2 linked regions of the Astyanax mexicanus genome follow. The protein of the gene in region 1 binds, or shares a complex with, the protein of each later gene. Links are inferred from orthologs where the notes say so. Each region holds a gene or a part of one and is shown on either strand. Other genes may lie near its edges.

Region 1 (16,564 bases):
TAGCTTGCTAAGTTTATTCACAATTTATACAATATATTAAGTATATTAATTTTGCTTCGAAACCAAACATTATACATTTTGTAGCGCAGGTTTGCAGTGCACGGCTGTGTCTTAAACGCTAGCTTTAGCTCCGTGCGCCACCATCTTTGTACTGATAATGTAATAAACATTATATATATATATATATATATATATATATATATATATATATATATATATATATATATATACATAGACATAGCAGCCAGCGCCAGGAGGCAGGCTATGCGAAATCTATGTATATATGTCTGTCATTATCAGTACAAAGATGGTGGCGCTCAGAGCTGAAGCTCGCGTTATATGATGTAAACACTAGTTTTTATTATACAATATATTAAGTATATTAATTTTGCTTCGAAACCAAACATTATACATTTTGTAGCGCAGGTTTGCAGTGCACGGCTGTGTCTTAAACGCTAGCTTTAGCTCCGTGCGCCACCATCTTTGTACTGATAATGTAATAAACATAATATATATATATATATATATATATATATATACATAGACATAGCAGCCAGCGCCAGGAGGCAGGCTATGCGAAATCTATGTATATATGTCTGTCATTATCAGTACAAAGATGGTGGCGCTCAGAGCTGAAGCTAGCGTTATATGATGTAAACAGTAGTTTTTAATAAGCTTCTTGTGAACTTTTAAGTCATTAATGCCTCGTTTTAAATGTCAGGACTCTCCGGATTCTAGCAAGGAGGTGTGGAGCTACTTTGAGCTGGATAACGGTGGAAAAAAAACTGATTTATCGGGGCAAATTATGCCTCGTATCACCCAGTCTGAAGGGTGTCTGGACAAACTGTTAAAATTTCTGGATCTCAGAACACTGTGGGAGAACGGAGGTGTGCTATTCATCAAAGGTAAGAACTTTTTATCATGTTTTACTACACAAAAAGTCTATTTTACACCGGAGTTCTCCTTTAATGGCAAAACGGTGCCACAGTTTTGATCAAATGTAAGTATGTCATTTGTATGTCATTTGTTACACAGGCCATGTCTAAACATGTCAGTTCTCCTTCCTTCCTCAGAACAGGAGACACACATCACTCTCTGACCGACAGACCGTTTCCTTCCGCTACTCAACCCTGACTAAAACTTCCAACCACTGCTGTTCAAGAACAGTTACAGTCCAAAAACATGGACATCAGGTAAACTGGATACTCGTAACTGCTCTGCTCTGCTCTGTGTGTATGGGTGTATGGCTGTATCAATGAAGACCTGTATCGATGCCAGTGGCATTGCTTGGCTATGTAAAATTTGGGGCTCAGTTCAGTTAAAGGAGAAGTCCAGTGTGAAATGCACTTGTGTTGTAGTAAAACATGACAAAGGTTACAAACTTTTGTCTAATAGCCCACATCTGCTTAACCCCAGCATTCTGAAATACAGCACTTTTAGCTGAAGCTCCTAACAGGCTTACAATGTTAGTGATAGGGGCATAGAGTTGCCAATGGAAAGAAATCACTATTTTTACACCATTAACCAACTCAAATACCTGCACACTTCATTGGTAGAATTCCCGGTGCCCTAACATATGGACATAGATATATTCACAAGCACGGTTGCTATTTAATCTATTGAGGTGGAAGACGTGAAAATAGACTGATGACAGGGTGTAAGATAACAATTAGCATCACAATGCTTCATATATAGGGTGCAAGATAGGGCCCTGAGTGTAGTCTGTTTTTTTTTTTTTATATTTTATTAAATTAAAATGCACATGAACAATCCAATCAAAAGCAAAACATAACAACAGACAAAAGCATACAAACTAGTGCATCTGAAAAAAAAAATAGAATATCATTGAAAAGTGACTTTATTTTAGTAATTTAGTTTATAATTGGAAACTCATATATTATATAGATGTATTACACACAGATTGATCTATTTTAAGCATTTTTTTTATTATTTACTGTTGATAATTATGGCTTAAAGCCAATGAAAACCCAATAATTTGTATCTCAGAAAATTAGAATATTATATAAGACCAATTGGTACTTTTGGCAGTGTGTGCAGTTTGTGCTAAGTCCTGCTGGAAAATGAAATCCACATCTAAATAAAAGTTGTCAGCCGAGGGAAGCATGAAGTGCTGTAAGATTTTAAACTTGATAATAAAACACAGTGGATCAACACCAGCAGATGACATGTCTCTCCAAACCATCACTGATTGGTGGAAACTTCACACTAGACCTCAAGCAGTTTGGACTGTGTGTCTCTCCTCTCTTCCTCCAGACTCTGCTCCCTTGATTTCTAGATTAAAATGTAAAAATTTACTGATGATCAGTGATGGTTTGTAGAGACATGTCTGTCATCTGCTGGGATTGGTCGACTGTGGTTTATTATCAAGTCTAAAGTCAGTGCAGTTTTGTTTTCCCACAAAATCTTACAGCACTTCATGCTTCCCTCTGCTACTGACAACTTTTATGAAAATGCAGATTTCATTTTCCAGCAGGACTTGGAACACAGCCAAAAGTAATGAAATGGTTTTATATCATATTCTAATATTCTGAGACACTGATTTTTGGGATTTCGTTGGCTACGCCATAATCAATTAGTGCTAAATGACCTGTGGGGTTCTGAATATTGAAGAACAGGGTGAGGATGGAGGAGGAGGAGGATAATAATAAAGTATACAGAGACACAGATACATGACTACAGTCTGTAATTATTATAAAACTACAGAGTGTCCAGTGTACATGACCAGTGGAGCTGATAAACGGATAATGGGTGTAGAGCCAGGTATGAATGGGGTCTGAGTTTTGAGACACTGTGTAGTAAGTCATTTCTGCCATTGCAGGGCGCTGTATACCACCAGACAGGGCATCAGCCTCCCAGACATGGAAATGAAGCGTACAGTAGCACAGGAGCAGTCTGGAGCTCCCCCAGCTCAGAGAACACACTGCTGTACTGTACTCTCTCTCTCTCTCTCTCTCTCTCTCTCTCTCACTCCATGCACATTCTCTTCTCCAGTCAGGAAAAGCTTTCACTCGCTCGCCAAAAACAAACATGGAGGGACATGGCTGAATGACGCACACCAGCCGTTCACAGCCTGCTGTCACAACTTCCTGTCTGAGAATCCTACAGCTTCATCCTCAGGCCTCCAGTCTGAGAGGGTTCTGCTGCTGTGATCCATAAGCATGCCTCACCTTCATGAAGATCAGTGGAGGAACAGTCCTGTGATAAAGACAAACACTTATGACAAAAGATAAAAGCCCAACAACAATTATTCCTGTAAACGACAATGACCATTTATTGACAACATCAACAACTAATGTTTTTTTTTGTAGTTGACTAATCTGCCGGTTATTTTTCCCGTTTCCCGTCAATTAGTCAGATTATTTTTGTCATGCTCCTTATCTCTGCTTCCTGTAACATAACAACATAAAATAACATGGCATAAAACATTATATAACATAAAAAATAACATAGCATACTTTAGAATATGTGATAAGGAAATATACAGTCATATGAAAAAGTTTGGGCACCCCTATTAATCTTAACATTTTTAGTTCTAAATATTTGGGTGTTTGCAACAGCCATTTCAGTTTGATATATCTAATAACTGGTGGACACAGTAATATTTCAGGATTGAAATGAGGTTTATTGTAACAGAAAATGTGCAATATGCATTAAACCAAAATTTGACCGGTGCAAAAGTATGGGAACCCTTATCCTTTTATTGATTTGAATACTCCTAACTACTTTTTACTGACTTACTGAAGCACAAGATTGGTTTGGTAACCTCATTGAGCTTTGAACTTCATAGCCAGGTGTATCCAATCATGAGAAAAGGTATTTAAGGTGGCCAATTGCAAGTTGTTTTCCTATTTGAATCTCCTCTTAAGAGTGGCATCATGGGCTCACCAAAACAACTCTCAAATGATCTAAAAACAAAGATTGTTCAACATAGTTGTTCAGGGGAAGGATACAAAAAGTTGTCTCAGAGATTTAACCTGTCAGTTTCCACTGTGAGGAACATAGTAAGGAAATGGGAGAGCACAGGGACAGTTCTTGTTAAGCCCAGAAGTGGCAGGCCAAGAAAAATATCAGAAAGGCAGAGAAGAAGAATGGTGAGAACAGTCAAGGACAATCCACAGACCACCTCCAAAGAGCTGCAGCATCATCTTGCTGCAGATGGTGTCACTGTGCATCGGTCAACAATACAGCGCACTTTGCACAAGGAGAAGCTGTATGGGAGAGTGATGCGAAAGAAGCCATTTCTGCAAGCACGCCACAAACAGAGTCGCCTGAGGTGTGCAAAAGCAAAAGCACACCTCAGGCGATATTTGTGGTGTGCTTGCAGAAATGGCTTCTTTCGCATCTCCCAATATACATGATGTACATGATAAATGTACATGATATTTACTCAAAATATATAACAATCTCTACTAAAATAAAATAAGGGCCAACTATGGTTTATTAAAGAACATCGCTAACCCTTGTATTTTCTTTATTTTTTAAATGTGTTGTTGCACATATGACTATTTGTGAGCTGTTGTCCATCAGAATAGACCACAAACCAGCCAATAAACACGTTTATAAACAAATGAAACAGTAACTTGGCCCCGCCCACTGCACTGGTAAAAGGGTAGTACTTAAGCTTAATAAATAGAGGCAATTTTTACAAATTTTATGTTATTTAGAACACCTTTTAATCATGTTTTAACTGTTTAGGGATAGTTCATGAAATAAAAAGGTCAAGATGAAATGCAAAATATTACACACAGGCTCCCAATGCAATAGAAAAATAATAATAATAATAATAACAATAAATATTTTATTTAATTCGATTTTTTTGTCTATATAGATTTTATAGTAAAATATTCTATAAGAGTCTTCTTTTCTCTGCATTACAGATAGAAAACAGCATTCTTACATTTTTTCCATCACTGGAGATAATTCAGGTCTGAAAGGGTTAAACAGTTGTTTATTCTGTGATTTTACTGTAGAAAAATACAGGAATTAATTACAGTGTGAGAGTGGAAATATCCTACTGTATTCAGTACAATGATTGACTTGGTTAAAGAACCATTAAAGAACTATATTTAAGTGTACAAAAAAGGCCTGTATTTACAAACCTCTTCAAAACAAGGTCTGTATTTAATTTCTTTCTCTCTCTCTCTCTCTCTCTCTCTCTCTCTCTCTGTCTCTCTCTCTCTCTCTCTCTTTTTCTGTCTCTCTCTCTCTCTCTCACACACACACACACACATAGACACACACTCCCTCTTTCCTGTCACCATCATCCTGTTGTTGTCAAAGTCAAAGGTCATAGGTGCCTTTCTCTCAGCAACTTCCTGTTGGACAAGCTTTCCTACTTCCTGTAGTCAGAAAAGACCCCCGATCCAAATCAAATAAAACAGACTAAGTATAAAACATGCTGAGCTAAGCGTAACTGTGTGCACTCGCCCTATCACTGCCTGTAATAACACGTTCTACCACAGAAAGGGTGCCATTTGCTTGGTGTATTAAAATTAAACTTAATTTTTTTATCTTTTTCTCAACTCTAAATTTAATAACACACATATTTAACCATTCAAAACATGTACTGGTCAAACTCAGGCAGCTTTACTTCATTTTATACATGTTTTCTAAGCGGAAGTCTTAGTCCTTGTAACCAAAACTCATGTGACATTTAAAAAGCATGTTTGAAAAAAGATTCCACTAATTCCTTTGATTGTCTCTCAAGAAAGTATTAATTTTAATGAAATGGTTTACTGCACATTCAAATAATTGATATTTATGACAATAAAAACACTATATATGCATGCACATTTAATTTTTCTAAAATTTGCAAAGCTATTTTTTATCTTTTACATTAACTAATATTTACATTAATGAATCCATAAACCAGGGGACTCTACTGACTCCTGTTACTGGCATTCATTCCTGTTACTGTTTATGTTATGAGTAACATGGCTGAAAGTCACAGGACAGAGTTTTTAGCATAGAATTAGCAAAAACATGAAAATAGCTAAATAGCGGCTATGCTAATAGCATAAGGACACTGAGAATATTCTTGAGACATTCCCAAACTTTTTATTTTAAAAATAAACAAATAAGATCTAATAAGTATTAATTTGGGTAACAGGACAGAGTGTTGAGATTGAACTCCTCAGTCATAGTTACAATAAAATAAAATATACAGAAAAAACTAATGAGGGAATTTAATGTTGTTCTTCCCATAGTCTTCAGAAAAAGCAGCTGATGTCACTTCCTGTTGTAGATGTGATGTAGATGTAGAATGTTCCAGATGTTTCAGATATTCAGGGTAATCTGTTACAGTAACACGACTGAGTGAAAGCCAGGGACACAACTAAAATGTGTATTTTAACTTAAATATTATGGATTTATTATGAAAGCACAGATGGGATTTGGAGTCACACAACAATGCAAAAACATACATCTCTGAAGGATTTTAATATTTATATTTCAGGACAGATAACAAATGCTATTTGTTCAGTGTTCTAAGTAGGTTTATTATGTTTTAATTACCTATTTTACATTTGCAATTAGATCAATGTCCAAGACACTATGCGTAATAATAAAATGTTTTCGGTAGAATACGCCTTAAACTGTACTGAAAAACAGCAGTGGAACCTTTTTGGTGCTATCTGCAATATTATTTTAAATGGTTCTGTGAAGAATTGTCTACAAACACCCCTATGTGCAACAAACCTATTAACCAGGCAACCGTATATAGCAGGAATTGGCAATTAAGTTTGGCCATGGGATGGAGATAGGCCAATGGGATGGAATGCTACAGACTGGTAGCTCTCCAGCCCAGAGGGTTGTTGAACTCAATTGCAGAACAGTTGAATTCTGAAAAGAAAGCAGGAAAAGAAATGACGTGGGGTCGCGGCTAAATACACCACCACTGCCCTAGCTAGTATATTAAGACAAAACTAGGAAAAACACTCTTATAAGGAGATACAGAGCCCAAGAATGGGCGGAAACTAAAGTGACGCCGAGTTTGACAAAGACACACAGGAAGGGATGTAAACAGAAGGTCACCTGAGAAGCATTTTATTTTTATTTTTTTCTTTCATTATCGTTCATTATAGTTTAAACAACCTAATGGGCCAGATGTTTCACGCTTGCAGGCCACATCTGGCCTGTGGGCCACCTGTTGCTGACCCCTGCTATATAGTATGAAATGATATAAGCTCTTTTAGCTCATAACAATACAGTACTAAGGCCTGTAGCACTATAGGCTATAGGGAGGCCAGTTTGGCTCTACAGGTATGAGGTTTTGTTTCATGCCCTGAAGAAGGCCAAAAAAAAAAGTCAAGTAATGGGGATGAAAACTTGAGTTAGCATAACTTACAACATCAAGTTATTACAACTAAAGGGGAAGTTGATTTAACTTTTTTATTTTTGTTATACTGTAAAACCAGATAAGTTGAGTTTACTTAACTTTTTTAAGGCAGCTGGATTACTCAAATTTATTAAATAACGAGAAATGAAAACATCAAGTTATTACAACTAAAGGGGAAGTTGATTTATTTCTAAGGTAGCCCAGGGGGAATCACTACACACTGATGGTGAGTGTTAGTCAGAAACTGTTGGACACACCCAGTATGCAAATAGATTGTGACAGAAGCCAATGGAAAAGAAGCAGTTAATGACAAAACAGACTAAACTCAGTTATTATAAACTGGTTCAACTCAAAGATCTCAGTTTGAATGTTTATATGTGCTCAAAAAAACTTTCAACTCACTTAAAATAGTTGAGTATTGTTTAGAAATATCCAATTTTATGTAACACAGACTTCATTTGAGTTCAATCAACTTCTGGGTTTACGGTGTACCTTTTTATATTTAAATTTTTGCCCTGCTTCAAAAGAGCACCTGTTGGAAAGATTTACGATTGTAATACTCCTAGTAGTGCTTTAGCCTATCTTTTTCTTTGTCCCTAGTCTCTATACGTCTACCTACAGAGTAATGAATAAGAATACATTTTGACATCTCTAATTCCAACACTGACTGACCACATGTTGAGCGCTCTCTCTAACTCTGGCTAAATTCAAGCTAGCAGGAACTGGATAGCATCTCATTCAAAATTAGCACTATTAGCGTACTGTACTATTAGCGAACTGTACTTAGCCTTAAATCTATACATACTGTACATACATTACTGTAGTATATGTATGCATGTTTATGGCCTAACAACATTTTACACACTCATACATCATACATTATAATATTTCTCTCTCCCTTCACCCCCCCCCCACACCCTCCCTCCATCCCTCCCTCCCTCTCCCTCTTTCTGTCAGGATATAGGTGTTGTCCAGCAAGGGGGAAGGAAATTCTGTCACTAAGAACAATAGGCCTGCTTCTCTATCTATAGACTGGGATCAGGAGAGAGAGAAAGAAAAAGAGGCAGACGGGGGAAAGCAAAAGCGAGGCTTATTAGAGTCGCAGAAAAGACAAACTCAAATTGAGAAGGATGTGAATTTTTATTTTATTTTATTTTATTTTATCAAGTCGGAAAAAAGTAAAATAATTTTCAGTATCCAGCAGTGAGAGACAATTCCGAGAACATGGACTAATCAAACGTCGCTACTGTGGAATAAGGAGCCGGACAGCGTACTAAAAGAGACTAAAAGTTTGAGCCCAATTTTTCATCAGAACAGCATCCTTTAACGAGTCGCAGTGGGTGAGTCACATTACTGGTGAGGGGAAACGATTACGCTATACTAAAGAATAGACGCTCTTTGAACTATTGTTAGCGTTTTTATGCCTTTTCCACATCAAACTGCTAAATTGACCGTTCTGTAAAAAGTACAAGCCGTAGGTTTGGGCCTAGGCTGGACACTGGAGACTGGAGTCGCTGGACAGTGTCTAAAGTGTGAGATATTAGTATTAACCCCTTGATTCCCAGGTTTTAAAAAACCTAAAATGTTACTAATCTTTAATGACTAATAATTAAATGCACTAACACTACTTAGTAGCCTAAGCAGAGGTGGAAACAGTACTGAAAAATTGTAATTAAGTAAAAGTACCTTTACTTTGCTAAAATTCTACTCAAGTAAAAGTAAAAGTACCCATCTAAAAATCTACTCGAGTAAAAGTAAAAAAGTACTCAATTTAAAATGTACTTTGAGTAAAAGTTACATAGTTACTTTTAATTATTTAATGTAAAAAAGTAAAAACAAATCATAAATTAAATAAAAAAATAGTTTTTAATGAACTATTATTCCACATAATAATTTGGACCTTTCAGGCAGTATTTGTTCAGAACACCCCATAAAACAAGTGGCATAGATTATAGGTTTCTATGATCCATTTTTTTCTTTACTATTAAACGTTTATGGTCATATAGGCGACTATAAACTGTAATTTTATAGTTTTACAGTTCATCATTATTTTTTAACTTGCAATTGCTGTGCTTTAACTGCTATTTTTTTTTTTTTTTTTTTACATTTAAGCAGATTGTTGTTTAATGATGAAAATACTTACCATCACGTGCTTTCTCCGGTTTGATGTGGAAGTTTTGAAAACTGACAGCTCTGTCCGGCGGGGCACATTTTGTATTGCATGAGATTGCATTTTTTTTTTTTATTTAGACAATTGTTTTTTTTTCCCCCCAGCATTTTATTTTGTACTCAGTAATGGGGAGTTTTCCAGTGTAGCAAAGTAAATTACTTGTGTCAAAATGTACTTGAGTAAAAGTAAAATTACCTATTTTAAAAAATGTAATTAATTACTTTCCACCTCTGAGCCTAAGTAATAGCTACTGATTATTCCTATACACTGAAAACAAAAATATTTATTCAACCTAACTCAGTCAAGTCATCATTTTGCTGTGACTGCTTTAAATTGTAGTAAATATATACAATTTTAAGTTTATTCAACTTAACTTAGTTAAAACTGGAAGATGACTTGAATAAGTTACCCCAATTCAACTGAACTGAGTTTTGTTCACACAACAATAGTTTAATTAACTCTGTATAAAGTGTTTTGTTCTCACATATTATTGTCTTAAGCAATTAAGTTAATTTAAAATATACAGCTCTGGAAAAACATTAAGAGATCACTTCAGTTTCTGAATCAGTTTCTCTGATTTTGCTATTTATAGGTTTATGTTTGAGTAAAATGAACATTGTTGTTTTGTTCTATAAACTACAGACAACATTTCTCTCAAATTCCAATAAAAATATTGTCATTTAGAGCATTTATTAGCAGAAAATTAGAAATGGCTGAAATAAAAAAAAAGATGGAGAGCTTTCAGACCTCAAATAATGCAAAAAAAAAAAAAAAAAAAAAAAACAAACACAAGAGTGAACACTGTAGCTCCAAACCAACATACTGTAAGCACTAGGAACTCATAAAGGTTAGTTAGAATAAAGGTAACTTGCTCTTACAGCCTACAACACCGAGGCCTGGCAATTATCAAACATGTGCAATAATAATGCAAAAGGGTAAAGAAAGACAGAGGCCACAACCAGTATGCAAATATATGCAAAAAGCTGTATAAACCAACACAAATGAAAGAGCCTTGGCAAATTCAATGCATTTTATTAATTGGCCCAACAATCATTATTAAGTTTCCAGGTTGAAGTTCTCTGAACTCATTTTATGGAGTTGTACTGGCTGGAAACTTCACACAACTTTTAGAAAGAGTCTAAAAGTGGAGAGGGTGCGCATTTCTAGCGCAGAAAAACGAGCCAAAGAGTCTAAAAGCGGAGAGAGTGCGCATTTCTAGCGCAGAAAAACGGGGCAAAAGAGTCTAAAAGCGGAGAGAGTGCGCATTTCTAGCGCAGAAAAACGGGCCAAAGAGTCTAAAAGCGGAGAGGGTGCGCATTTCTAGCGCAGAAAAACGGGCCAAAGAATCTAAAAGCGGAGAGAGTGCGCATTTCTAGCGCAGAAAAACGGGGCAAAAGAGTCTAAAAGCGGAGAGGGTGCGCATTTCTAGCGACGAAAAACGGGCCAAAGAGTCTAAAAGCGGAGAGAGTGTGCATTTCTAGAGCAGAAAAACAGGCCAAAGAGTCTAAAAGCGGAGAGGGTGCGCATTTCTAGCGACAAAAAACAGGCCAAAGAGTCTAAAAGCGGAGAGGGTGCTCAGTTCTAGCGCAGAAAAACGGACCAAAGAGTCTAAAAGCAGAGAGGGTGCGCATTTCTAGCACAGAAAAACAGGGCAAGAGTCTAAAAGTTGTCGTAATTAAGGAGTTTAATATTAAGAGACATCATGAAATTAAACATCAATTTCAACAATCTTAGTTTACACAACACTGTCAAAGATAAAGATAGTAAGTCAAGTAAAATGGTGTGTAAATGAAATAATCAGGAAAAAGTATTATTTAAAGTGGTATATTTCATTATTTGTTTTATTACAGAGTCTGTGGCCCGTGACTTCAAATATATTTCTCCTTCAGGCCCCCAACAAAAAAAGTTTGGACACCCCTGCTCTAAGAGATTAAGGATAAGTGTTCTACTTAGAACCAATCTTTAAAAAGATGGTGAGAAATAATTAGTAGATTAAAAAAGTAATTAGAGTATAAAAAAGAGTGATAATAAATCCTGTAGTGAGTTCAGTCCTGCATCTGCGTGTTTTCCTCTCTGCCAGTGAGGATGCAGGTGGTCAGGGCCACAGCCACTGTGGACAATTACATATCCTGTTATTAAAATGTGAGAAAACACTGGAATTAGAATAGGCATTGTAGCACTACACAAGATGTGTTTATCTAACCAGCACAATTCAGTATATCACAATAGTGAGTAAGAAGCATTTGCTGCATTATTTAAACGTGACAGATTTAGGGAAATGGCCAAATTGGTTAGATTTGACTGTAAATCAACATTTGTTAAGTTTTCTTTTTTTTACAAAGCATTACTTGCTGTTGGTTGGCAGTTCGCTGTACAGAAGGTTATGCCGTTAATAAGAATAACTAGGAAAAAGTGACTATTAGTCTTAAAACCTGTTATTTTTTACTCCTAATAGAAAATGACACAATGTATAAAAATATAGGAAGAAATAAGGATGTTAATGTTCACATAAACCACAGAAACCAACAATCCCATAAGGAACCATCCAATCCAAAAGAACCATTTACATTTAACCCTTGTGTCTGTGGGACCCGTTTTCATTTTTCATCAGATGATACTAAAAAAATATTTTTTCTAACTCAAACTCATTGTCATTGGCTCATTTTTTGTGAAAAACATATATCAAAACACATTTTCAATAAACACACACTGTACACCCCCCCCCCCCCCCCCAAACCATTTATATTACATACAGTATGTTTGGCCAAGGGCTAATAAACATTGCTTCATTTGTAAATTTGAAACTAAACAAATTTTCTACTCATATCTTGAGTTTAATTCATTTTCTTTTACATTTTATTAAAAAACTAATAAAAAAAAGAGTAGCACTTTTTGAAAGAAATGTAACATAAGAAAGGTAAAAGGCAAATATTAACCATGTAAGCTGTTTATATTGCTTGCAGTTTAGGTGAAGCAAGCATGTGTAAAGCATTTTAATGTAGAATTGCTTAATTTTGCTGAATTAAATACAAATAACAAAGTAAACGAGTAACAAAAATATGAACACCACACAAGGGTTAATTTTGCTGAGATATTAATCTAAATCTATTAGAATCAAAACAGAAATGTTTATTACTGACCCTTAGTCACAATGTTGAAACAAATAAAGAGAGCACTTCAGTTTCTGAATCAGTTTCTCTGATTTTGCTATTTATAGGTTTATGTTTGAGTAAAATGAACATTGTTGTTTTATTCTATAAACTACAGACAACATTTCTCCCAAATTCCAAATAAAAATATTGTCATTTAGAGCATTTATTAGCAGAAAATGAAAAATGACTGAAATAACAAAAAATATACAGAACTTTCAGAAAACAAGTTCTTATTCATAAAGTTTTAAGAGTTCAGAAATCAATATTTGGTTTTTTTTATGCATCTTGGCATCATGTTCTCCTCCTCCACCAGTCTTACACACTGCTTTTGTATAACTTTATGCTGCTTTACTCCTGGTGCAAAAAATCAAGCAGTTCAGTTTGGTTTGATGGCTTGTGATCATCCATCTTCCTCTAGATTATATTCCAGAGGTTTTAAATTTAGTAAAAATAAAAGAAACTCATCATTTTTTTACAGAGCTGTATATAAAATTGGTTTAAGAGAAATAAAAGTGTTTTTAAGAGATAAAAGGTATTACTGATTGCATTACAGCAAAACTTTAAACAAAGAAAAAGAATGTAAAAAAATAGCAGATCATTAAACAGATTTAAGGGTCACACTTTATAATAAGTTTCATTAATATACTTTTAACTAATGATACACAAATGTGAACAAATGCTTACACATGACAATTAGTTATCAGCATGCATTTTTTTAATTTAGTCATTTTAAAAAATCATTAGCTCGTCAGAATTTGAACATTAATACATCACTAGTAATGAGAATTTTAAACCTGATAAATGTTCATCAATTGCAGTTATTGTTGCCAATGTGTTTATTAGTATTCCCAACTTTTTTGTTCCTTAAAATGTGAAAAAATAACAGTTCATTAGCATTCATTAGTTAATCATATATTAATAAAAGTTATTATAAAGTGTTACCAATTTAAATTTTAAGAGGATATAACTTTCTAAGACTTATTAAAGATATTTTTTTGCAGCGCAAGATCAAGGCCAAGCTAATAGGAAAAAAAATGATAAAATAAATCACATGTAGGCCTGTCACAATATTTTTTTTTTGTGGACGATATATTGTCCCAGAAATTATTGCGATACACAATATTTTTGGTAATTTTAAGACGCTTTTTAAAGACCACAAAATTTGAATGAATCATTTATTATAATAATTTTGGGAATTCTATACTTATTTCTTTACATATTTTGTCCACACTGTGTGTGTGGAGTCACAGTTATTTAAGCATGGCTGGCTAAAATTATGTTCATTATTATATATGTGAACAAACATACAAAAAACACAGTAGGCGATATCACGATTATCAAAAATGATTGAGGTCGTGTTCATTTATTGTACGATAAATCGATATTGCACTTATTGTGACAGGCTTGATCACATGATCACGTCGAAGCTTCAGCTATTCCCTCTCTATTGCTGTGGCATTCCCCTCCAGCTCTCCTCCACTAACATCCTCAAAGGCTTTACTCACAGCTGAACAAAGCAGGAAAAACGCGCGACCTTGCATGTCCTGATTACTCGAAAGGGTATTTCAGGATTTCCCGTCGCCTATCAACTGATGTCATACGCTGCCAATAACCCTGTAAGCTGATTTAGAGGAGAAGGACAATAGAGGGGCTAAAGGATTAATGACACGAGCAAGAGGGAGAATTCCCTAATTATGTTACAATCTCAAAATATGACTCATGGTATTTGATTCAGAGACTGATTGCCTTTTTTTTTACATGAGTTTCTTGTTGCTTTTGTTTTATACATGCCTATACAGTACCGGGAAAAACTTAAGACTCACTTTAAAGGAGAACTCCGGTGTAAAAATTTTTCTTTTTATGTAGTAAAACATGATAAAAAGTTATTTCCTTTGATCATTTGCACACCTTCGTTCTCCCACAGCGTTCCCAGAACCGGAAATTTTAACAGTTTGTCCAAACACCCTTCAGACTGGGTGACACGGGGCATAATTTGCCTTGATAAATAGTTTTTTCCACCGTTATCCAGAGTATAAAGTAGCTCCAGAGTCCTGACATTTAAAACGAGACATTAATAACTTAAAAAGTGCACAAGATTCTTATTAAAAAAACACTCTTTATCTGCTACGCTATGCGGATTCTATGTATATATACGTTATGTTATGTTATTATCAGTACAGTAATGGCGGCGCTCAGAGCTGAAGCTCGCATTGTAGGATGTAAACAGTGGTTTTTAATCAGCTTCTTGTGCACTTTTTAAGTTATTAATGCCTCATTTTAAATGTCAGGTCTCTTCAGATTCTAGCAAGGAGGTGTGGAGCTACTTTGAGCTGGATAACAGTGGAAAAAGCTATTTATCGGGGTAAATTATGCCCCGTGTCACCCAGTCTGAAGGGTTTTAGACAAACTATTAAAATGTATGGATCTCAGAACGCTGTGGGAGAACAGAGGTGTGCTATTCATCAAAGGTAAGAACTTTTAATCATGTATTACTACATACAAAAAATCAATTTTCCACCAGAGTTCTCCTTTAAAATCAGTGTTTTTTCATTATTTTAAAATGTTCTGCATTGTAGGTTAATACTAAAGTCATTCAAACTATGAAGAAAAAGAGTAAACTAACCACAATATCTTTTTTATATTTTAGATTTTTTATTTAGATATATTTTATAGTCATCTGGAATTTCAGGCTTTCAGTTAACAGCTGTGCTGAACTCATCAAGAGTTAATTACCTGAATTTCTTGTCTCTTAATGTGTTTGAGAGCATCAGTTGTAAAGTTGTGAAGAGGTAGAGTTACAGGTATACAGTAAATAGCTCTATTTGAGTAATGTTCTAATCTATATTATGAGAAGCAAGAACTACTCAACTAAATAACGAAAACAAAATACTTGAAGAAATGAAGGTCAGCCAATCTGAAACATTTCAAGAACTTAGTTCCTGAAATGATCCTCAATTGCAGTCACAAAGACCATCAAAAACTTAATGATGAAACTGGCACTCATCAGGACTGACCCAGGAAATCAAGAGCAAGAGTTCTCTCTGTTGTACAGGATAAGTTCATCAGAGTTATCAGCCTCAGAAACTGCAAGTTATCAGCTCCTCAGATAAGAGCACATAAATGCTTCTTCACAAAGTATTTTGTTTTTGTTTTAAACACTTTTAAGGGTACCACTTTAAAATAAGACTACCTTTATAAAGGGTTTATAAATGATTTACAATTAATTTATTAATGGTTACTAATTAGGTATAATCAGTAATCATTAATAATCAGTTATAACACATACATAGAAAGGGCAACAATGACCTGTTGTTTGCAAAATAGTGAACCCACAGCCGTCTACATTGTTGTCCTTTCTATTTATGTGTTATAACTGATTATTAATGATTTTAAGGCATTTACAACCTAATTAGTAAGCATTAATAAACTAATTGTAAACCATTTATAAACCCTTTATAAAGGTAGTCTTATTTTAAAGTGGTACCCTTTTAAGTTACTACATGATTCTTTATGTGTTCCTTCATAATCTGGATGACTTCATTTAAGTATTTCTATAAACTTTCCTACTGTTTCTATCCTGCTCTATATCCACCTCCATCTCTTAATCATTCTCTCTATCTCTTTTCCTTTAAGATGGAGGAGTCTGGGAGTCCTCGTTTCAGCAAGCTCCATTTCCCCATGGGCCTGTGGATAAATTCCCCACGGAAACACTTCGCCAAGCTGGGTGCACGCTGGCCGAGCGCAGTTTCAGTCAAGTCAGTGTTCCTGAAGTTTCTCAATCTCGCATTCATTAGCTAAAACACTCTGTCATAGTAAAAAAAACATTCCACAGGTGTTTTCTTTGATAGGACTGAGTAGGGCAGGGATCTGCAATTAAGTTTAACT
Region 2 (16,564 bases), on another chromosome or scaffold:
CAAACAAAATCACAACCAGGGTGAATGCAAACTCAACAAGTCTCAATTAAGCAGAGTAAAACGTCCAGGTGTGGAAAAAACGTCATTTATTTAGGCATAACTATCCTCCCCATTATACTGACAGCAGCTAGATTCTTGTTGACAGTGGTTTTCATGAAACATGATACACAAGAGACCCTTGAAAGAGCGAAGCTGTATATTGGTTGTACAGTTAATAATTTAATATTTCAACACATACTGAAAACCCACACAGCCTTAGTGGGTAGTTTGTACCTTTTGTAAATCAATCACTTGTAATATAGATGTTTTCGAATCTACACAGTGTTTCCCTATGAGTCCAGTGATCCTCCAATGTTTTTGAAAAACGAGCCACAAAAACATAGTGCTTCAAAACTGATTAGGTTATGACGTACAATATGAAATCTGATATGGTACATGAGACGCTTTAGAAGGAAGAATATCAGTTTAAAAATCAAAAGAAAACAGAAAAGAAACAAAAAAGAAAATCCAATGTTCCTCTAAAGATAGCGTTTCTGAGAAGTGTTGCCTGAAAGGGGGAGACGGGGGAATGCGTCAGCAGCAGAAAGATGAGGAAGCAATCTGCTTACATTAATTTTCTTTCTGCATTTTCATGCAAAGATGAAACTAGATCTAATTCAGGACAGTCATCAAAATTTTCAATTGGTGAAAACTATTGCACCTTTACAGTGCATCTGAAAAATAATTAAAGAAAATTTGCTTAGAACCATCTTGATAAACATTTAGAAGCTGGAGGAGAATGATTTTAAATTAAATGTGTCCTAAACTGGTCAAACCAGAGCAGGCAGAATGCAGCTCAGAAGTGAGGATACCATAATGACCAAACCATAATGACGCATGTCGTTTTACAGACTAGCTTAAGGCCAAGAGGTAAACATCTGAAGCAGCACTGTAATGACCACACGAAACGTGGCTCTTGCCTGTTATTAACACAAACCGCAGCAGGTTACAATACAAATTCAGTGTGTTTTTCTGCAGGCAGGCCCTTTCCAGGCCTCACTTCAAACTTGGGTCAAGACGAAACCATGTAATCATCACAAGAATACAAGTGCCAGGACCATTATGTCAGAAGCAGACTGCTTATAAAAAAGGTACAATGATGTGTCTGTCGCCTATCAGACCTTGTCTGTGTTCACTCCTGTAGTGAGCTTTGACTGGTTATATTATCTACCTGCCACAGAAAAAAACTGATTTTGCTGCTTTAAGCAAAAGATTTTGAATTATACTATTTGGAACGTCTGCAACAGATATGCCAAAACGTGTCATTGCCAGTAAGACAGAACAACTTAATGGTAACAACAGTCATCCATTTTCCCCCAGGCCTATTAAAAAGCCACAGCATTGAGACACCCCAATTGAAAATGTTCTGTGCTACAGCACTGAAAGATTTATTAAGAAAAAGAAAAGTATACAACATTAAGCTGTATAATTAAGTCTCAACTGCAGGTACCAAGTTAGAATGCTCTGCGAATAAAAACCTACGCACATATCCCTGGACTTTAATACTCAGTGTAGCACAGAGCTTGTAAGATCACTTACTGGGGAGTCACCTTTCTAACTGATGACCTGGCTGGTGTAATTGTGGCTTTCATGAACTCCAGTGGAGGGGGCAGTTTGAGCCACTGTCTAAGCCACAATCACCTCCACCTCAGGCCATCTAGTAGCTCTGGTAGTAAAGCACCGGTAGAGAAATCTCCATCAAGATGCCTCATACAGCCTGTAGTGTTGTTTTAATAAACAAATAAAAGTATAAAGTAGCATATTATGTTTTGATACAAAACCTCTCAATCTATCAAGAATTAATAGGAATATTAGTAAAATTCTTGCTCATTTTCATTTGTTTCAAACGCAGAAGGTGAAGACAGAAATATCCCACATTTTCCTAGCCAATCAACAACTTAAAGATACCACTACTGTTTGGTACAATTCCATGTGTCACTTCACCCCCTTAACAATATGACAAAATATCCAAGTAAATTTATAACATGACATATTTGGAGTCAAAGACATCATTTTACACTGCGACAACTAGACCATGTCCAACACCCACAGAATGGCTTGTTTGGCAAAGTACAGGCTTCATGTTGTTGAGTGGTAACCTGTAAGTTTCAACACCATCAATCAGTGGAAAGAGCACACAGCCTGACATGTCATTTGCAAGTCAATCAATTCACCTAGGTTACAGGTTGTCAGGGAGACAGGAGAAACAATTATAAAACAATGATTTGTTGGCTACGCACATTTCACATTTCCGCCCAAGCACTGTTTTGACCCTAAACAATGCAAAACAACGAAACAAATCAATGCACTCTGTGCTGCCGAAGCTCACACCTTGCCTGCATGAGAATCTTTGCATGTCTTACAAGAGCAAGGAGAAGGGGAAAAAGATGCATGCAAATTAGCCTCAGCTTGATGGGAAATAGATACTCCATTTAAACCTCATCTTCAGAGGGACCAGCGTGGAAATCTGTGCCTCTAGTCTGTGCATTACAAACATACTTCAACAAATAAACACAACCGCTGTAGGCCATATTTTGGGAGACTATACAAAAAAAACATCAAGAATTTTATTTAAGAACTAGTCAGAACTGTTTCTTTTTCACTAAACTAGAGTGTGTATCAACACACAAAATAATTATTTATAATTGTTCACGTCTGCAACCGCACTTCAAAAACGGTGTAAACACGGTCGCATAAATAATCAAACAGATTACAGTCAGATAACAGATAAACAAAGCTATCAAGCAGTGTGGAGATAATGCCTGCAGTGCTTCGCCTACCTAACACCCACTTCAGACCAGCTTCTGCTTGCCTACTGGGTGGGTGATGTCCAGAACAATTATGTAACACCTTTAACATGACCAACCCCCACTAGCTTCACCAAACACTCAAAGGGCATAACTGCCGTATGTTCCTAGCTTAAACAAGGACCTGATGCAAAGTTATGGTCTCCAGCACTGGAAGCAGTAAGCAGCTTAGCTGGTGACAAACAGCTGGTTGGGGTGCAGATTGCGACAGGAAAAAGGGCAGCAGGGGACTAGATCAATGCAAACTGGCCAACCTGAGTGTCAAATGCCAAATCATAGCAGGGCATCAGGGTTATGATTGTACACAGAGCCCAGTGATGAGATTTCACATACATTAACTCTTGAACAAAGCTGTTTCATGTATAATTTATCACTCCCCGCATTTCTTATTGTGTAATTCAGTTTATTCAATTTGTAGTCCGTCTTCTTTTACATTTGTGATTAAACTACTGCATCATGCAACTTCCAGAATGTCTCAGAACATATTTTTGTCCCAATGATGTGTAATGCAAATCAGCTGTCAATGGTTGCCAGTGTCCCTCTGGATGGTCCAATCATTAAAACCTAGCTTTTCAAAGTGTGCTTAAAACATTTTGAAATATCAAACCTAAAGATCTGCAAAACGCTTGCCTTCCCAGATTTAGAGATTAGGTGGCCCACTGCTTGTCCTGCCCAGTGTCTCTAAACTAAAAACAACACAGCCTTTGTCCCAGGATTTATCACGATAAACAATTTTATGCATCAATGTGCCTTGTCATTTTTACAATACAGACTGGGCTGTTAGAGGTGTACAGTTCTTCTCGTTACTGAGCTTTTTTTTTTTATCGCTAGCTCCATTACCAAAAACAGCTAAATAGTCAAAATTAATAGTCAAACTTTGGTTCTTTTTACCACCAGAAAAATTAGCTAAATCAGGATTACTGTGAATTAATAGACATTTATTACAGGTTTGGGCATAATAATGAAAATTAATTTAGTGGCAGAGTAAACGAAGTAAGCGAAGAGAGAACGAACAGGTTACATACAGCTTCACTGCAAAATCTGAAAAATACAACTAAATTCACTACTCCCACAATGCAATGCGTTGCATTATCGCAACAGGCTAAAAGCAAAGAGCTAGTAAAATCTCTTCATAGTAGCTTACATCATCTAAATGTCCTTTGTATACCCGTAATGGATGGAAACTGAACTTATTATGCACTTTTATTCTATGCATACTGTCATACAAGCAGCTTTCTAAATTATCAGTATTGCAAATGCCATGTATGTGCCATTAACAAATGAAACAGTTATGAATGTTAAACTGAGCAAATAAACAGTACCAGTCATGCAGTCATGTGCCTCAGTCATTCATGTTTGACCAGAATTATGCAATAACTTTTGCAGTCCATTGCACACTCTACAGCTCTTTATGACAGTCATCTTTCCACAATTCAAGACACACAAAAAGCCAATTAACTCAAATTCAGAAACCTGCACAACAACTATATTAAATTGAAGTTCTTAAGGCCTGAAGTTCAACTCGTACTCAGCTTAGTAGAACTCCTTTATTGGAGAGAGACACAAATAGCAGCCACAGTAATCAGCCATAGCTTACACGCATGAATGAAGACAATGATGTGAGAGAATTGCTCAGGGATTAAAATGTTGGAGTCGGCGAGCGTCGGAACCATACGACACAACATCACTGCAACAAGTTGTCGAACAATCTTGACAATCTGTGACACATGCAGTGGCACAGAGCCAGTGAACGAACTTCAATTAAAGCTAGTGAATTGAGACAGGATAAAAGGATTAAATAACAATTGATAGTATATCACAAACTGGCTATCTCCTGATACCCCCAGACGCATCTTTGGTTCCCCTCAGTGCAGTCACGTGACTGAAAGGAGGAAGGAAAGCATGACAGGGCCACCAGGTTTCACAAGGCCCTTTGGCCTAAAGAGGAAGTGGGCCAACTCGCTGTGGGACACCCACTACCCTCCTTCCCTCCACCCCCACAATTTCCCGCTTTTCCTCGCCAGAGTTTCACCTTTCCTCTTTTCTCTTTCAGTTTCCCAAAAAGTCCCACAAATTTACAGACTGACATCTTTAGTGTTACCAAACCATTCACTGTGGCCTTAGACTTGCTGAGACTTACTCAACTCGTTCAGCCGTCGTCACACACTCCGTGTAGTCAGGAAGAGCAAATGCTAATGCTAATCTATCTTTTACAAATGATGCATTCAGGTATCAGCAGTAGGGTTTCACAATATTAATAACTCTTGCAAGACACAGGCCATCAAGGTTTAAGCCCAGAGCTAGAAAGCACACTCAATGTATATTGCCATCACAGAGACTCCTATCATAATGATGCTATGACCATTACGCAGGCCTAACTGGTAGATATGTAGGCATCAGATACTGTATCAGCAACAGCCAACAATTCCCACATCAGTACATCACTTAGTCACAGAGATTGTTTAAGTCAATTGTAAGCTCAATACAACTATCCATCTATTCCTTAAATAACATAACAGCCATGCTTCCTTAAGGACCACAAGGACACTGTCCCAATGGGAAACATAAATACTGGGTCTCATTTATCTCCAACAGTCTCAGGTGACATTCCTAAGCATTAGTGTCCACTGCCACATATCACTTTGGAGTTGGTATTTGCATTGTAAAATCAACATAATTTAAGCCACATATATTTATTTACACTTGTTAGTCAAATGTGTCCAATAGGGATCAATGTAATTATCTAATATTTTACCTATTTATGTGCAAAAGCCTGTTTTTAAACATACTAAAATTCAGTTTGAAATATCAGTCAAACAACTGTCCTAAATCCTTCCCTAAAACTAAGATTAATGCTAACAACTAACACACTGGGCCAAACCCAAGCCTTTAAAGGCAACACAAACTGTGGACCATCCCTCTCTGAAAGGAAGTTGCACGCTCTTCATTTTGTTTTTCCAAAGGAGCCTCTAAACCGGCATTCCTCAGTGCCCAAGAGGACACACTATCACGGGGATTTCCTTCCTTTCACTCCAAGAGGGACACAACTGGGGTCAGACCACGGCAGGGTGAGGTTGAACTGACCCAATGCTAACTGCTATCAGCATGCATGAAGTGGTGTTTCAAACATAAGAGTACAAATCAGCAGAACAAATGTTGCAGAGGTTCATAATCTGCAGCTGCAGACATCAATGTGGGCTTATCCATTTTTGATATGAGGCAAAAAAAAGGGTCTGTGAAACTTTATCTAACCACTGTCTCAGGAAATGTCTGTGCCGTGAATGAAATAATCAGCCCTGAACACTGACATATCATTACACACACTTCCTTAATTAACCCAGTAGTATGAATAAAGTCCTATTAGAAATAGAAAGTGATACCAATTCTCTTTATGATCAGAATTTAGCAATATGCATTAGAGAATAGTATGCAGGCACACAATCTGAGTAAATACCACAATATGCATAGATAATTTACAACTAAAGCAGAATGACTGAGTTCAATCTCTCTGTTTGACCCTCTTTGGATTAATGTTGTCAGGACTACTCATATACATTTAATTTCCATCCTATATGAGGTTTAAACATCTGTCTAGCTGTAAATAAAATGTACAATAAAACATAAAACAACAGAGTCACTGTAGGACTAAGACTGTCACACTGTTTACTTTGGTATTTGTTTATATAGGCCTAAATACCTTGCCATAAAAGGCCATCTGATTGTTCACTCCGAGGTCTAACCACAATTTAAAGATGAGATACCGAAAAAAAGCAATGGTTCTGTCCAAACACAGTAAACACCAACATTTCATAAAAACATCTCCCTTGTAAAATGTTTACAACTGAAGCACTTGCCATATGACAGGGACCAGAAAGCAGCAGTGCAGTGATAAAAGATTATGCTATTAAAAATAAATGAAGAGGCAACAGGATCCTCCTTACCACCTACAACGACTGCACTACCTCAGAAACAGTTCAATATGCTCCTGTCACACTGCTGAGGGGAGAGAAGCCATCTAGAACTTGCAATAACCACCAAAAGACTGCTGAGGAGAGGAGAAAGAGGGTGTAGCTAGCTAGAGTGGAAAAAGTGCCCTCTAGATACATGTTCTTCTTATTACTAATATTAGGCATAGTTAGCTAGAACACAAAAGTTGTCTCACGGCAAGGTAGGTTACATTATGGATAAAGATACTTCAGAATGGCTCTGCAACATGATGGTCAGACCTACTCATGTGGTCCTCCACTACTAAAGTAAGCTAGCTAACTATACCTATGCATCAAAACACACATAATGTTTCTCATATAATTTAGCTAGTAATGGTGTATACTGTGTACCAGTAGGCCACTTCCAGTGTCCAATTACTGATAACTGTGCTGCTGCTGTTCCTGGGTCATTCATTTCATCTCTATAGCCAGATAGCAAAAGTATGTTGAATCATGGTTCATTTTTACATCTCGAATGCACTGAAACAATGATGATCTACGTCAGAATTGATACACTGATTGGTACACAATGATTTTACATTACATTAATTCAACGTTATGCGTTTTTTTTACATATTTGCTGGTTGTATTACACTTTACTTACACTGCATATGTAAATCTAGCTTGTATTCTACTTCTGTAGCTTGTACTGTGTTCTTATAGTCGCTGCATTTTCCTCCGAATGCGCTGGCTACTCGGCAATGCTACATTAGAAGCATTTTAAAAAGAGGCGGGGGCTGACTTTACACGTGTCGGAGGAGGCATGTGCTTGTCTTTACCCTCCTGGTGTTGGGGTCTCACTAGTGACGGGGGAGTTTTAATAATGAGTGGGTTGAGTAATTGGCCGTGTAAATTGGGGAGAAAATGGGGGGGGGGGAGAAAGGGACATTGACATGATAATAGTAATAATAGTTTTAATAGTTTAATACTTTTGCCTAAAAGCATTGTGAGTGTAGATTCAGAGCCCCAGCCATTTAAAGGCTTTAAATTAACGTTGATTCAACGTCAGAATTTCGACACTCGCCTATACTTACGGGATAATGTTAAATAAAGGTTTTTTCCATCATTAATATTAAAATACGCAAGCTAGAAATGCAACCAAAAAGTAATAACCTAGCTAGCTAATGTTTAATGAACGTTCTTTGCTATCAGGGTAGTTTATTCTTCAGCTCGGCTCTAAACTAGGCGGGGTCGCTGCTCAGACATATGAAGAGCCAGCAGCAGCAGCAGCAGCAGACTCAATGCACTCGAGCCATTTAATAAACCGGTTTAGCGTGCAGGCTAACGCTACAAAACACCAGACAGAGAGACACACTCAAACGTTAGCAGCATCCAAAAAGACGTTTCATTTAGGTTAACTAACTACATTTCGTCGTGTTAGCGAGCCGAAACGCCCAGTTCCCCTACAGCTAAGCTAACATAGCCAGTTAGCTAACTAGCTATCACTCATTCGTGCAACTTTTCCATTTCCGCTATAACTTCCACAGACAGAGCGGTGAATACAGACAGCAGAGAAACGCCATTCCTCACACAGCTGTGTGTTTCTGCGCAGGCTAGACAGCGTTAGATAGATAACTAACCAACCTGGGTTAACGTTTTCACATCAACACAAACCCTAAGCTAACTTCACTGACAAACTAAACCGCCCGCGGTTCGGGCTTTAACAAGAAAACGGCGTCCCAATCATCGGTGATAGTTGAATTGTTTTACTCCGGCTCCGCCATATTCGAGCCGTTTGACCTGCTCCCTCTCTTCCTCTCTCTCTTCCGCAAGCCGTGTGTGTGATGCCGTGCGTCCGTGTATAATCTACCCGGTCTCGGTGCTCTCTCGCACGGCTCCGCGGAAACACACCGGCCGTTAAAAAGCCTCCACACTGGTTCCAGCAGCTCTCAGTTGACCGAATCACCGTTAACTAGCTTAGCTAACCCACGCTATGCTAACTAGTTAAATCGTTCATCAAAACCCGGGGAACAACAGCGAAATCTAGCAAGAGAAGATAAATATATACTCACAGATCCGCTCCGGAGCTCCAACCCGATGTACGCCTCTCTCTTTCCCTTTCTCTCCCTTTCTCCCTCTCTCTATCGCTCTATCTCTCTCTACAGCTTGCTAGCTCCCTCTCTCTCTCTCTCTCTCTCTCTCTCTGTATGGGTGAGGTTTGGAGTTGTCGCGTGACGTCGCAGCCTCGGTTTCAGCATCACGGCTCGAGCTCTGCCCACCGTTCAACAAACACGAAGCGGGAAATGTGCTCCACATCCTCACAGCTCATACAGCATTTAGACATCTGCTGTTCTGGTAAACCATACCTGTCAAGGTTTGGATTTTAAAAATAAGGGAAATGTTCCGCCGCCCGCTTCGAGCCGTCCCACCAGCCCAACCGAGGTTCACTATCACTTACATTTTAAGACAGGTTACAAGTAATCTAAAATAACCACCTGTGAACCACGTACAAACTACCATTAAATTATCAGAATCTGATAAGCCTTCCTTTGTTGACACTGAAATGCTGTGGACAGTCCTACATATGTAATTCATATAATACAGCCTAAATGAAAACGCAAAAGGGAATTGAAGGCCATTTATTTATTTTACTTTTTTAAAATTTATATGCACATTCCTTATCTTATAGTGAAAAAAATATTTTCATTACACCTTTTTTTTAGTTTCTCATGTTCACTTATTTGGTTCTTATTTGTTCCAGACTTTGCATCCTTTAACACTTTCTTAACAGGAATGCCCCTGTACATATTGGTTCTGTACATATTGAGTAAATATATAGAACATATAGAGTAGAGATACATAATTAAGATAAATCATTAGTTTTACACTGCCTGGCCAAAAAAAAAAAAAAAGTGAACACCTGAATTTAACTAAGCAAATGATCTGGGGTTGCTGCAGTTGGTCAGGTCTAGATTCAGCAACAGTATGTGCTGAAAGAATTAGGTCAGCTGACTACCTGAATATATTGAATATAGACCAGGTTATTCCATCAATGGATTTTTTCTTCCCTGATGGCACGAGCATATTCCAAGATGGCAATGCCAGAATATATCAAGCTGGAATTGTGAAAGAGTGGTTCAGGGAGCATGAGATCATTTTCACACATGGATTGTTTACCACAGAGTCCAGACCTTAACCCCATTGAGAATCTTTGGGATGCTCTGGAAAAGGCTTTTGTGCAGCGGCCATACTCTACCATTCTGGCATAACAGTGTATAGCGTAACCTAATCGAATTGTAGATATTTGAGTATACTCAACTTTCACACATTTCAGTGTGCTACATACTCAAAAACTAGTTGCACCTTTGACTGTGGTTACAATGGACACTGTTATCCCACAATGCAGTGTAAAATAGAATATGGAGGAGTTGCTCATGTCTGGAACAAGAAATGAGACAAATAGTAGATAAAGAAGCTAGTGCAGCTAGACCAATGCTGGAGCACCTTTAGTGACATGTTATTAACACTTCATCACTTTCTGTTATTTTAAACAAATTAGTAAATAAATATATTTTGTACTAACCTGGCAACCGCACACTTTAAAGTTTAGTGTATATCTTATAATATTAGTGTGTAGTATGCAATTAGGCTGTAACCCTAGTTGCAGTGGACCGCCATTAGATGGATAGCATGTGTCATACAGATCACACAGCCTATCATTTTAACAATTGGAGGGTAGGGTCTAAAATATGTACTCATTAAAATTCAAGAGGTTTGGTGATTCATATCAATGTCTGCATTTGATTTTATTATGTAATACATAAAGAAATTGTATAAATGAATGTAGAAATTCTAAATAAAAATTTAATACATTCACAAACCCTTGGTACCTAAGGAACACTTAGCTAATGTAGGTTACTTTAAGTGGATCTTGAATGTGATCGTGAATCAAGGCTTTTGAAACCAAGAAACCTGAGTGTGACACATGCACTACTTCCCTTTACAATAATATATCCAGAAATGAAACAAACCCACATAAACCAAATAACTTCAGCCAACACAAGCTTATCTCTTGTGTCTGCAGCTTTGTAGCAAGAACCAGTTTTTGAGCTTGTGCCTTTGAAGAAAGTTTGTCATTCAGTCAGTTAATCAGTCAAAGAGATGTAAAGTCAAAGAGACCAATCAGGATGCTCTATGTGTTACTCTTTCGAAGCAGTTATGACTCACAAAGTGCATAAGTGGGACTAATATTATTTCCTGATTTACAGGAAAGCAGATGATATGAGTGTATCAGGGAGTTACTATCAATATGTGGTTGGTCTGAGGAGCAATGGATGTCTGAAATTAACCAAGCTAGTTGACCAGACATTGGTCATCAGTATGATCAGCTTCACCAAATCAGTCAACCAGTATAACCAGTTTGACGATCAGCTAGGTCAGGTCTGTTATGCTTATAGACCGAACATATGCTATGCTCATCTGAGAGCTTAGCTGGTTTATCACCTTAAGAGGATATAAGGTATATATTTCACCTGGATGAGTATTTTTTAACCACTTTGACCATCCAAGACCTGTGCAGACCATTTGAAAAGGAAATCAGAAACTGCTCCTGTCAAAATCTGTATTTTTCAGCAGGGTAGTGAGAGCTTTTAAATGTAATGTGAGTCTACAGGGAAATGACTAGTGCTGGTCTAAGTCCCATGGGGCTGGTTTTGATAATGTGTAATTTTGGATTAAACTGCAGTGTCAATGGTGCTAAACAACATATTTATTCTAGGCTAACTGCATAACCTAATCATGGATACAAGCATATTACAATGTGTCAGTAATTAACACATTTGGAAAAATAATATTTGTTTCATTAATCATTTTGGGTCAATTTACAAGTCAATAAAAAAGTAAAGGATAGCAGTATCTAAGCGTTACCTCGAAATATGGCTTATATGAGGCCTGATAGTGGGTGCCAGATGGATCGAGCATTCAATTTTTTAGTTGTCCCACATGCATAACCCACAAGTCAGCTCAGTTCTCTTTAGCTTCCACAAGACAATGGCAAAAGTTCAATGATATTTAGCATGTCTCTTTTAGTAAAATGATACCATATGTAATGCATATTTTGTAAAAACACAGTATAAACTATGTTGTTTATTATCTCTAAGAAGATCCGTGAAATGGTTACCACAACAACCTCCTGTAAACTGACCTCACACTACATGCTAATTTCAAACAGGTCACTTTTTGCTGTGTGAGCCTCTGTGAATAATTTTGAATGCTGTCATTCTGTTCCCTGCTTGGTGTGAATGGTGTCCTGTTGTCTACGTTACTCATCTCATACAGTCTTGCTCCACGGCCCAGGAAAAAGTCTCTGTAGTAATCAAATGGCTCATTGAGAGTGGCTGCAAGAGGCCAGGAATTCCAAATATGCTCTGGCATCAGGAATGCGAGCCCACTCCCTGCTGTAGGCCACCCTTCCCGCCCCACCAGCAGCGATCATGTGGTCCTCAGCTGTGCGTACAGACATACAGTATAGTAGAACTGATAGAAGTGCTGGCCCAGACGCTAGTCCCACAACTAGGTTTTATAACCCAGTGCTAAACCTACATAAGCACAGACCATGGACCACACAGTGCCACTGAAATACCAGTACTTACATCATGTTTACACAAAGTGCCAGCCAAAATGACTTAACCATGAATTTGTGGTCATGTGATGTATGTGTAAGGTTTTGTGTTCCTGTTGGTGTAGGTTTAGCGTAAATAGCCTCTAACTGCTACATTTGTGTTGTAGTCAGTGAAATGAACTTCCAGTCAAAACCAGTATAAAATCTTTTTTAAATACCCTTGAAGACCAGAAGAAACATTTTGTCCGTATATTGTATTGTTAGAATACCTAATTCAAATTTGAATCCCAGTAATGTTAACAGAAATGGGATACATGGCCTTTACATACAACTGTGCCTGGACCCATCACCACAAATTACTGGTCAGGCTGTAGTCACTACCAATCGTGTGTATTACTGTATCCATGTAACAATCTTACCAGTATAGCTAAGATGACCATCATTACACTCAAACAATGGTTTTTCACCTAACGAAATCTGGTTCTTGTACCAGTTCGGTTAGGACTTATAAATACTATGGGTCTTTTAATCGAACCAGTCAGCGTTTCCATCAGTTTTAGTAGAACCGTCAAAACGTCACATCAACTGAGGGATTTGCACAGCGGCAGCTCACAGATGTCGTCACGGTTCACGCTGAAGAACCTAGTATTCTTCGGTTCCTGCTGCAAAGAAACGTTCCTGGTTCTGAAACCTTCTTTTGTTGGTGGAAACTCGGCGAGTGGTTCAAAATTAGGTTTTCCGTTTATGTGGAAAAGCACTGTAAGGTCCAGTTTTCAGTGTCCTATTCAGGTTAAGTTTAAGGCTAAGCTGGAACACTTTGCCCATTCATGTGTTTTTCTGGAAACATCATACACCCTACATCATGTTTAACAGTGGCCTGTTGGCTGTGACCATGTATGACTTTCCACTTCAAAAGAAATGACTGACTCAGAATTACTCATGTAAAAGGCAGTACATGAGCATATTAACAAGCACTGAATGTTCATTGTTGTAAGTTTGACTATTGAAATGAAATATTGGTCAAGGCATTTGGCCTACCCCTGTGACCCACTCCAGACTAGGGGAGGCAAAAGCATCCCTCCAGATCTAACAGAGGCTACAGGAACTCCCACGAGTGAGGGCGGCTGGAAACTCAAGCGGAGAGACTATTCTTAGCCATTTCTTTCCTGCCTGGGTGGGGTTTCACAGTTTCTTCATGACGATTGCACACCATCAACTGTTTCCCCTGACATCAAGACACAGCCTGAGGTCAACAAAGGGAAAACAGAAAAGCATGAGTGATTAGGAATTCTTCAGAGAGTTACAGTAACAATAGGCATTAGAAATATCTCTGATGCAACAGCAATGACAGTCAGAATTGGCTGCAAACCACATTTAGCAGGCAATCAGAAAAAGGTCAGGCTCTTTGTCGAGTTGCTATGCTGTAATATGACTATTTAAGCCTCACCTCGGGTGTCTTAACCAGAGCGCAACAGAAATAGATTATCGGCGTGTTCTTCTTGATAGCAGTGGCTCATCTTCTGTGAGAGTGATAAATTAGGCTAATGGGAGGAACTTTAACTGCTGTGAGACATTCTGCTCTGGGAGTGTTCTCTCTCAATTTCAACACACACACACACACACACACCAATTAATGGGCCATGTACAGAGCAATGCTCAATAGCTTTAAATTAGACAATTGAAAGCCCCGGAATTTTACTGATGGTTTTGACATTTTAGATTTATGAACATAAGTGTAAACATTTCAAAGAGTAAAGTTTTAAAATGTGTAATTTACGTAGCAGGAATAGTACAATTGGGTCCCTAGTGCCACTCTTAAATGAACTTATCATAGCTCTTGCAGGGTCCTACATCGCCTTACTTCCTGACTCCTTTGCTAAATATTGCCAGAATGTAGGTAGGGTTTTTTTTTAGCGTCTTCTTTTTCTACAGCCCTGCATTTATGTATTTTTTTGTCTGTACTGTACTGCAGTATTTAAACCAATGTTTATTTTTAAGTTTTATTTAGAGAGAAACATTTTCTAGTCTAATCAGTGTAACACCAACATTATGGCCTCAGCATTCTTCCTATGAAATATAGCTTGTGATCATAGCACATAGCCAAAAGAGCCTTTTTGTGGAGCCCTGCTGTTAAGCTACCTGAATGAGTAATTTAAATGACAAAAGAATGCCTAAAGAATATAAAGTAATAACAAGGTACTGGCTCTCATATGTGCTTTTATTACAAGTGTTTGTCTTTTTGTAGTCTGGCTACTGTTAGGCAGTAACAGAAAAAGAATGAGCAAGGAGATTTATAGATCTTAAGATTGGTATTTGCATTACATTTTCAAAACGTTACTTGCCAAAATTTGAATTCATAGTTTTTGTAATGTTCAACACATTAAAATACAGAGGCTGTTTCTTTGTTGTTTATGTGCAGTATTTCAGTCCTAACATTAGGGACTTCAGGGAAAAATGTAGAATGTAGCTTCTTTAATGGCGTGCTGCAAGTCATTCTGACACACAAACCAGAGGAGGTGTCTGGATACAAACATCTACACCAAGCAGTGAGGATTTGGTTGTTCCATTGGGCTTGGTTATGACTACACAGGATACAGTCCTGCATTTCAAAACTGCAGTGTGGTTAGCGCTTACAGTGGTTTTGCCTTGTTTTGTTTGTGCTTGACTGTAAATGAGCCCTGTGTCTCTTAGGAATTCTATGTAAAAATGAAACAGAATGGAACAAAATAAGCAGTACAAGTTGCCCAAACCCTAACGACATGTTTAACACAGCAAGCCTGAAAGTGCAGTGGTCAGAAAGTGTTGATTGCATTACATGGTAATTACAAAAGACATGTCACATGACACACTTTGCCAAGCAACAGAAAAAAACACAAGGCGACACATGAGCCGTCTCAGGTCATTATTAGAGGTTTCTAAACACACATTACAACATGTTCAAACATGGCAGCAGAGCCTGGCCAAGACTGAGAGTCCACACTTACCCAACCTCTGTTTTTTTTTTATTAACCCAACAGACAAATAGAAAAAGGTCTGTTTTTTGTATCAGGTCATTATTACTTAAGCTAAGTGCTAAATGTTCTAAATGCTAAGACACAGGGGACAAAACACAGACACGAGAAGGCACTGGGGTAAAATCCTTTAGTATAATTTTTGTCTTTCTGACAGATAGATGTGAAGAGGCAAACAGTGATTACAACTGCACTGGTGAAATGAAAGAGTGAGAGGGTGTTTGTCTTGGTCTTCCGGAATGCCTCTGATTACTGTTTCCAGTGAAGCACATGCAGCCACAGGAGGCTAAACAATGTACGCCCCTTAGCCGAGTGTCTAACAGCTGTGAGCACAGTCTCCAAAGCCTGTTCTGAGCTAGCTCAGGGACTGGACACAAAATATTCTTAAAGAAATTTTATTTTAAACAGATTTCTTCTTAACTTTATACTTTTTTATTCTTGAGAATCTCTCTAAACCTTTTTAAATTTATCTCAAAAAGTTCTATAGAGAGAAAGCAAAAAAGACAAAACTAAGAGGAAGAGAGAGAAATACATTTAGGCTGCTAAGTATCATTAGAGAGGGCAATCAGGCAATAAAAGAGATACCTTTAATAATTAAATTCAATTAGGGCTTAAATCTAGGTCAATCGATAAAGCTCAGTATAAAAAATGAGTTAATATTGATTTCCGGTTCAGCGGCTGAACGCTGCAGTCCACAGGAGGGCAGAGGGCCTTTAGCTTAAGCGAAACAGCTAAAACCAATGACCTGATGCATTAGCAAAGGATTAGAGATCATGAACGAAGGGCTGAGGTAAAAATATGGCACTGAATGAGATTTTAGGCTTTTAACACACAACAAGTTAAGGAACTGTGCAATTTAAAACACAGCTTCCCAACTGTCTTTATCACCAGTTCTTCATTGGAATGGTTCAACTCTTGAAACTCTTGAAGTGTTTCCATCAGTTTCCATCAACTTCCATTAGAAAGTTGGAAAATTGACTGTTTCGGCTTTGAAACCTAAGAGGATGTGTTTCATATCATACTGCAGGCAGAGGCTCTAGACTGGTGGTGGCTTCAAGTTTTTGTTTTTAAAAGACGTTGTTCTGTTCATGTTTTTCTACAGATATTGGTTTAAACTATTGGTTATCACTTATATATTCTCTGCATGGACAGGAAAATTGG

Evidence for each region.
Region 2: the proteins of rasip1 (region 1) and rap1b are in contact, whole or in part, in a crystal structure (PDB 5KHO), measured with the Homo sapiens proteins. The link is inferred for Astyanax mexicanus from reciprocal best matches to the Homo sapiens genes RASIP1 and RAP1B. Residues at the interface, in NP_060275.2 of Homo sapiens: Val147, Lys149, Ala156, Ser157, Gly158, Ala159, Asn160, Tyr161, Lys162, Ser163, Val164, Leu165, Glu181, Arg182; in NP_001010942.1 of Homo sapiens: Val24, Gln25, Asp33, Pro34, Thr35, Ile36, Glu37, Asp38, Ser39, Tyr40, Arg41, Glu54, Leu56, Phe64.

What each region holds. Positions count from the first base shown.
Region 1 is NC_064413.1:6,835,795-6,852,358, forward strand, and holds the start of rasip1 (ras-interacting protein 1), read left to right. Parts: upstream 1-8,369; 5' UTR 8,370-8,713; intron 8,714-16,312; coding exon 16,313-16,434; intron 16,435-16,564. UniProt on the Homo sapiens protein: Required for the proper formation of vascular structures that develop via both vasculogenesis and angiogenesis.
Region 2 is NC_064409.1:11,821,803-11,838,366, reverse strand, and holds the start of rap1b (ras-related protein Rap-1b), read right to left. Parts: upstream 8,995-16,564; 5' UTR 8,845-8,994; intron 1-8,844. UniProt on the Homo sapiens protein: GTP-binding protein that possesses intrinsic GTPase activity. Contributes to the polarizing activity of KRIT1 and CDH5 in the establishment and maintenance of correct endothelial cell polarity and vascular lumen.